Linked DNA regions of Callithrix jacchus. The protein of the gene in region 1 interacts with the protein of each later gene in a pairwise test. Links are inferred from orthologs where the notes say so. Each region holds a gene or a part of one and is shown on either strand. Other genes may lie near its edges.

The links.
Region 2: the proteins of MOAP1 (region 1) and THOC1 interact in binary tests that used the Homo sapiens proteins (3 or more experiments, as listed by UniProt). The two-hybrid records come from large-scale screens. The link is inferred for Callithrix jacchus from reciprocal best matches to the Homo sapiens genes MOAP1 and THOC1.

Annotation. Positions count from the first base shown.
Region 1 is NC_133509.1:127,995,915-128,000,011, forward strand, and holds MOAP1 (modulator of apoptosis 1), read right to left. Parts: upstream 2,684-4,097; 5' UTR 2,612-2,683; coding exon 1,553-2,611; 3' UTR 578-1,552; downstream 1-577. Other genes in the region: uncharacterized protein LOC103795890, read right to left, coding at 2,709-2,731, 2,915-3,677; LYSET (lysosomal enzyme trafficking factor), read left to right, coding at 3,748-3,845.
Region 2 is NC_133514.1:63,784,614-63,788,431, reverse strand, and holds part of THOC1 (THO complex subunit 1), read right to left. Parts: intron 1,783-3,818; coding exon 1,674-1,782; intron 548-1,673; coding exon 416-547; intron 1-415. UniProt on the Homo sapiens protein: Component of the THO subcomplex of the TREX complex which is thought to couple mRNA transcription, processing and nuclear export, and which specifically associates with spliced mRNA and not with unspliced pre-mRNA.

The DNA.
Region 1 (4,097 bases):
GTCTCATACGTACAATGGGGAAAATAAAAGACTGAGCTTGTGGGGGCACCAAACGTGTTCACTGGTGCTCCGTATCTGGTGTTCAACAGAGCTATCATCACTGACCTCCAGGGCAGGGACTGTAGTCTAAATGTAATGACGCAGTCTTAAGCCCTCAGCTTAGTGCCTCACAGATGGAGAGGTGCAACACATATTAACACTTGTTTGTGCACAAATTCACCATGTCTGCTTCCCACTACTGAGGGGGCAAGTGAGTGGCCCATGTCACAGTGCCTGTATGCTCCAAATGACTACACATATATAAACAAGATCAGAATTACACCTTCTAATCTATTCAGAGTGCATGTCAGTTAATATTACAGTAGAAGCAGTAATATAATTGTTTTACTGCTTCAGCAGAAGGTCCCCTCAGCAATCTCACTTAGAAAACAATTTCCTACCCCTCAGCACCAAGTGGAAAGAATCCTGGGAACTAAGTCTGTGTAGGTTCAGTGGTTTGCAGATTAATGCTCTGGGAACTCTTTATTCAAATGAAATCTCTCTTGGAACCCTGATATAAACAAAACAGACAAAATCATTTTATTAGCATTCTTTTATTTTAGAAGTTCACACCTATAATTTCATAACAATTGTGAAAATGATACTCAGAACTAGATATTTTGGTAACACATAGCAGAAATCTGTGGTTAAAGATGGTCACTGCAAACTTAAATCAGCATTCAATTCTGTCTTTTGTTTTTGTACAGAATCAATATAATTCTGATTCATACAGATAATAACTTAGTATCTTAACCTCCACTCATAATCTACACCATAAATGTAGGTTAGCACATACCTAAAAATTGTTAATGATCCAACATGGTCACATGTGACATGGCACACTTGCACTTGGTACCAAACAAGCTGACAGTTCAATGAGATTTGATCAGCATATGCACCTGAGCCTTGTCTGTCCCCTCAGAGCACTGTACACAGGTAGTTAAAGAACTTTTGTACAATAAGAAATTCACAGGGATGAAGCCAGGCACGGTGGCTCACACCTATAATCCCAGCACTTTTGGAGGCCGAGGCAGGTTGATCACTTGAGGTCAGGGGTTCGAGACCAGCCTGGCCAACATGGTGAAACCCTGTCTCTACCGAAAGTACAAAAATTAGCTGGGTGTGGCAGCACACACCTGTAGTCCCAGCTACTCAGGAGACTGGGGCAGGAGAATCACTTAAACCCGGGAGGTGGAGCGTGCAGTGGGTCAAGATTGCGTCACTGCATTCCAGCCTGTGCGACAGAGCAAGACTCAGTCTCAACGACAACAAACAAGATATTCACAGGAATGAATTTAAATAGGTAAACAGCAGTGTAGAACTACATCCTTCCTGGTCACTGACACCTTTAGATCTTAAATAGGCACAGAAATAACAAAGGGCTTATACTGACAACTGCACAAAAACGAGTAACTTGGCAGCACAAGGCAGGGATTTTATGTGTCACAAGAGTACAGACTGTTCTACTTTCATGCTCTGCTCATTGCTATATCCCTTCGTGATTCCCTGAGATTCAGGTGAAATGCCCGTCTAATACTGCCTGGAGAAGGGCCTCCTCCTCCTCAGCTGCTTCATAATCCTTTATTAGTACCAGTAACTGCAATAAACTAGGGGCTGGGCCATCCTCCGGCAGATTAAGCTCTCTGCGAACTGTTCTGTGGACTGCCCCAGCAATGACTTGGTCTAGGCGGGCCTGATTCACAGCATCTCTCTCAATTGCTCCTTTCTGTACCAGCTTCTGTAACAAAGGCTCCAGCCTTAGTACATAATCAGATAACTTTTCTTCCTCCTTCTGGTAAGTGTTTAGAAATTTGTCATGCAACTCTCTAGGACTATCTGTAACCCCAAATACCTGCTCAAGAGCCTGCAGGCATTCATCAACAGTAATTAAAGGATTGTTTATCTTGAGGACACGAATAACATCAAGTGCTGGGCCTCGAAGGCTCTCTAGCACTCGCCTTCTCTTCTCTGCATCTGACACCTCCCACACCTTTAACATCTGAGTAGTATGAAACAGCCAGGGTTCAAATTCTTCTTCTTCCGGTTCTGGAGAATCACTGCCTGAGAACACGCTCAGCTTTTTATAGTGGAAGTACTGCAGGGCAGGCTCAAGAGCCTCATTTAATGCCTGTGCCAACATAGGGGCCCACATTTCTGGGATCATGCCCTGCCCTAGGTCTAAGGAGCCATTTTCATATCTAAGAGCTCTGGTCAACTCACCCATTGTCATGCCCTCTCCCTCTAAAAATTCATTTAATCTGCTTAGGAAATCATTATCTGGGTCGGGGGTCTTAAAGAGCACTCTCCAGATACCCCCTTTTCCCGGTATCTCCTTAGGGACCAGTGCACGACTAGTCTCCGCAGCAAGCCCAACTAGGGCTACTTTGCAGTTCTCATCCCTCCTGAACATCCTTCCAAGCAGTCTATACTCCCCTAGGGGAGCTAAACCAGCCTGCAGAGCCTCCTCGATTTCTGCCACACTGCAGCTCTCGGGGATGCCGGCAATCAGCAGCGCTTTCCGAGGGCTCATGTCCATCCCCCGGCACCAGTCTTCTAAAAGCCTCAAACTCATGGTGCCCGAAATAATAGACTTAAGTTCTAAATATTCCAGACCACAGGTAGCCACCGCAATTCAAAGTAATCCTCCGCGGTACCCCAGAGAAATCTCCTCAACGTGGCGAGGTCCAGCAGCCTGCAAGACAGAGCAGACGGGTTAGCTAAAGGTGCCAACGTGCAGGCCTTAAGCCCCGAGGGACCTGCACCCCGCGGCGACGCCATGTCTGCCGCATTGCGGCGTGCGCCCCTCCCCCCGCCCAGCCCAACTGCGTAGCGGTTGTCCGGCCTACAGGGCCGCTCCGGGCTTGTTTCGCCTCACCGTGATCTACTGCTCCGTGCTCGCGTCTGTGCGACGGCGGGCAAGGTGCCTGGCCAGGCCCAGAGAAGGGGCGGGAAGGCGGGCTCCCCTCGGCTCGGACGGACACTCGCGGGCCAAAGCGATCGATGCCGGTCCTCCAAGTCCCTGCGATGCTCTCCGCAGCAAGGAGTGATGGGGCGATGACAGTCACGAGCGGGAACCAGAGGGCAAGGCTGAAGAGCGCTGAGTCGCCAGGCCCAGACAACCGCCCGCCTGAAGGGACGCGCTGCCACCTGCAACGCCAGAGCCGGGTATCAAGCCCCAACTTCGGCCGCTTTGTTCTCGCTCCGAGAAGCTGTGCGTCTGGCAGAGGCGCTCTGACGTCATGAGCGGGGCGGGCCTCCGGGGGCGGGGCGCGTGCGCTTCCGGCCCGAGCCGGAAGCCCCGACTGCGGCGGTATCCGGGACGGCGGGCGGGCTGGCCACCCGGGACAGGAAGGTGAGATCCGGGATCTCAGCTTTGCAGGCAGGCTCTGCCGGCGGCCGCTGACTGGCGCTGAACTCGCGGCGCTGCAGGGCGGCGAGGCCGCGGCCTGGCGTCGCCTGCACAGCCCTGGTCGCTGCGTGCAGGTGCTGCAGCTCAGTAGGGGGCGGGGCCGGCCGCCGGGAGGCCCAGGTGGCTGGGACGCCTCCCGGCCGGGTCGGGTTCCCAGAGTGGGGCCCCGGCGGCGGCGACGGGAACCGGGCAGCGCGTGACCCGCCGCAGTCACGCCGTTCTTAATCATTAGTAGCTGGTGCTTCGGGCTGGCGGCGCTCACCTCTCTCTGAGCCGGGTGACCCAGGGGATTTATTTTTATGGTGGCTTTCTCTGAAATGCCAAAGCCACCCGATTATTCAGAGCTGAATGACTCTTTAACGCTTGCCGTGGGAACAGGAAGATTTTCGGGACCATTGTAAGTGCTTAGGAGTTATTAACTTGGGGTCTTGACTTGTAGCACCCCGTGTTCACGTCTGAAGCAGTACTGTTAAGCCAGAAAGTATTTTAACTGTCAAAGTGAAATGTGCTGTGGGAAACTAGCTTAATTCCAGTTTCTGGAGGGCGGGTATTCTGAACCTGTTTAAGTAGAACCTGTTTATTCTGTGGGATTCCCATTAAAAAGCAGAACTCGGCGGTGGCTCACACCTTTAATCTCAGCACTTTGGGA
Region 2 (3,818 bases), on another chromosome or scaffold:
TTACATAATCTTGTAGCATCATATTTGAACAAAATTTACTTTTTAAAATGTATAAATAAGATTAACAAGAAAGTTTTAAACCCATTACTTGTACCTAAATAATATTATTTTCATAAGTACAAATTAAATCCTAACTTGATGTTTAAAATATATAGACATGAAAATAATTAAACTGCATTTATTCTAAAATTAGTCTACAAAACAGACTTACTGTAGAACTACTTTCACCTTTGAAATCAAATTAGTCCTGCTTGAGAAAGGAAGAAATGGGACTTTCAAACTAACATTAATCAGCTTTAACCAAAAGTACAATAAGAAACATTTTTATTCAACTTAACTTAGAAAGGCTGTCAGCTAAACAGAAACAAAACAAGACCATTTTTTACTATGCTTAGTGAAAAAGAAAAACTTATACCTTTTCACTTGTTAAAAATTTTGCAAAATATACATGCTCTCCGCCTGTTTTCAATTCTTCCATCTTTTTTCTTGAGGCCTGAGTATCATCCAGTTTGTAACTCTTAAAAACAGCTAAAACTTCTTCAGAATACTGCAAAATAAAAATATTAGCTTTATTCAACATTGTTGCCAAAATTTGTTTAGTTCTTTTCTGCATCAAAATACCTAGAATTTACTCCCAATCATGTATTTATATTGTAAAGCATACCAACAATAAAAATTATTATAGCAAAATGAGATTAAAAACCATTTTGTATGATATTTCACTTACTGTAAAAGTAGGAACAAATTCTCTACTCCTAAAGATATGATTTCTTAAGAAGTTTGTGTAAGGGGCAAACAGAGAAGGGAACACTTTAAGACTATACAGAAATTTACCAGTGAAATTCTCTTATCACCTGTGGATTAACTCTAAGGCATTTCTTGTGCTAAAGACTGACCAAATAAATTCCATCAAATTCTGCCCAGTTAGAATAGACAATTCCAGGTCATTTTTCACTAACCACTTAATCTGAATTTGGATGGTGCTACTCGCACAAAAATTTGCACATAAAATAAAAACTATTAAAAATAACAGAATACACACCATGCTACTTTGAGAGAACTACCTATTTATCTTAGATTTTGATTATGACAAAAAAGGACAACTGATCTTTAAGTAGCCAAGAAAAACAAAAATTCTTCTAAAACAGGATTGGCAAACATTTTCTGTAAAGGACCAGAGAGTATCTCAGGCTTTGTGGCCTGTATAGTCTCAGTTACAACTACTCAGCTGTGCCATTATAGTGCAAAAACAGCCACAGGTAAGTGGATGGTCATGGTAGTATTCCAATAAATCTTTGTTTACAAGCAATAGGTTGAATCTGGCCCAAGACCATGGTTTGAGGACTTCTGTTTCAACAAGATAGCTAAAATAATTTTGTGCAAAGTAAAGATAGAATGTATTCTGCAAAATATCATCAATTTATGTTGACAACACTCATTTTTAAAAAGCAAGGCTATAATGACTAACTTTTAAATATCCAATTCTTATATGTTACTTCACAATATTAGGGGTTTAAATATTAATTTATAATTTAGCTTGTTATGAAATTGGTATAAAAATGTAAGAGGCAGAATTATATAAGCAAAAAGTATGTCAGACAAGATTAAGTTTTAGCTCTATTACTGACTATATAAAATACTGGGCTTCTGATAGTCTGTCACTGGCAACTCACCTTGAGAAAAGTTTTCCATGAAATCTTCTCATAGCATTGCACAGGGTTCCTGAAGTAATCCTGAAGTGACCAGAATTTTCGATACAGGTTGTAATCAATTGGAATAGAGCTAATAAAATAAATGTTATATTAAATAAATCATTTAAATCCTTTTACAAACATCTAAATATTCTTAACTTAGCTTTGGTCACAAACCCTTTTCAGAATCTAATAAAATTTATCAGAAAAGTACACATTTACAAATATATGAACTTTTACAAATCATTTTAGGGAACTCATAGACCCCAATAGACTCTCTTTATCTACATTGGTGGAGCCCCTGAATTTTGGCAGGACACATGGTTATTCAGAATTAAAGATTATGCTTCCCAACCAATCTTGCTGCTAGGATGGCCATGTGCCAATCAGTTGGGAGGAGAAGTGACATGTGCAACTTTTGGGCCATATTTTACCACTGGCCTTTTCCTGTTTCTGCTGGCTAAATGCAGATTGAGAATGAGCCACCTTGCACTACAGAAAAAAGGGCAAACACCAAGAGATGATGGAACAAGAAGGCAGAAGAAATCTGGGTCTAGACAATCTCACTGAGAAGCATTCCTTACCAGCCTTGGACTGCCTGCTTCCAGACTTTGTTATGAGGGGAGAACAAATAAATTTTTACATTGTTTAAACCAACGCTAATTTGAATCTATGTTGAAAGTCACAGGTATTATATCCTAACTAATAATATTATATCCTAAGAAGCACTAGTATGAGATAACCATATACGGTATATATCAAATTAGCATCACAAAAATAAGCCCTTTCTATAGTGACTTTATTATGGCATTAGTATTTCAACTTCTTTTTTTTTTTTTGACACAGAGTTTGCTCTCGTTGCCCAAGCTGGAGTGCAATGGCACAATCTCAGTTCACTGCAACCTTGGCCTCCTGGGTTCAAGCAATACTCCTGCCTCAGCCTCCCGGGTAGCTGGGATTACAGGCATGTGCCACCATGCCTGTAATTGCATTGCACTGTATTTTTAGTAGAAATGGGGTTTCTCCATGTTGGTCAGGCTGGTCTTGAACTCCCAACGTCAAGTGATCTGCCCACCTTGGCCTCCCAAAGTCTGGGATTACAGGTGTGAGCCACCACGCCCAGCCACTATTTCAGCTTCTAATCTTGATTATGTTACAAATCTACAGTGTCAATACATATTCTTTCAATTTTTAAAACACCTAATATCTGATAAACAGTATCTGAAGCACATGAAAATCAACAGTGAAGAATACCGACAACTTTTAACTGATGAAAATCTAGTTCTTGCCAAAGCTTTTATCAAGAATTAGCAGTATCTGAAAGAATCTAATAGGCTTGTTTAATTGCACTCTTCCTAAACTCTTCCCTAGTAACAACTCTGAAACTAGGAAAACAATGATCTGTACATCAACCTCTCTCTATAATTAAAGTTAACTTCACTGATTTACAACAATAAGATTATACCTCTGGGTTTTCTATGAATTGGGTTTTTTTAAAAAAGCCACAAAAAGAACATTCCCTAAAATGTGAAAGTAAATAGAAAAAAGAAATAGCACTATATAAATTATTTATATCCATGAAAGAATATAGTTCCATACATTTGATAATGTTTTTGAAGTACGTGTGCGCGTGCACACACACACAATGTTAACTCAGTTACAACATGTAAGATTGAATATAATAAATACCTCTTGAAATGTAGTACCAGGAAAGTTTTATTCTTAAAAATGGAGCTACCTCTAACAGAGAATGAGAAGCATGAAACCATTATATGTCCCTTTTTGTCTCAATTGCTAAGAACTTCACATCTAATTTAATGCTTGATACCAATAACAATATTATTCCAAGTTGCTAATTATCATCTCCTACCTGTAAAGGCTTTTGATCTCTTTCCTTTTATCTTTAATTGGCTTGGTGGGTATTTGAGGTGTCTTACAGAATAAATTTTAAAGTAGTGTTAATATATTACTGCTAGGTAGTTTTTATAGTTGAGGCATTAATATATTTTTTAAAATTTAAAGTCCCCTCTCATAGATGCTGTCCCTTGCTCTTTTCCTTCACAGCTGAATAAAATTCTTCAGATTTGTCTACACTCTATGTCACCACTTCATTTACCTTTCCATTCA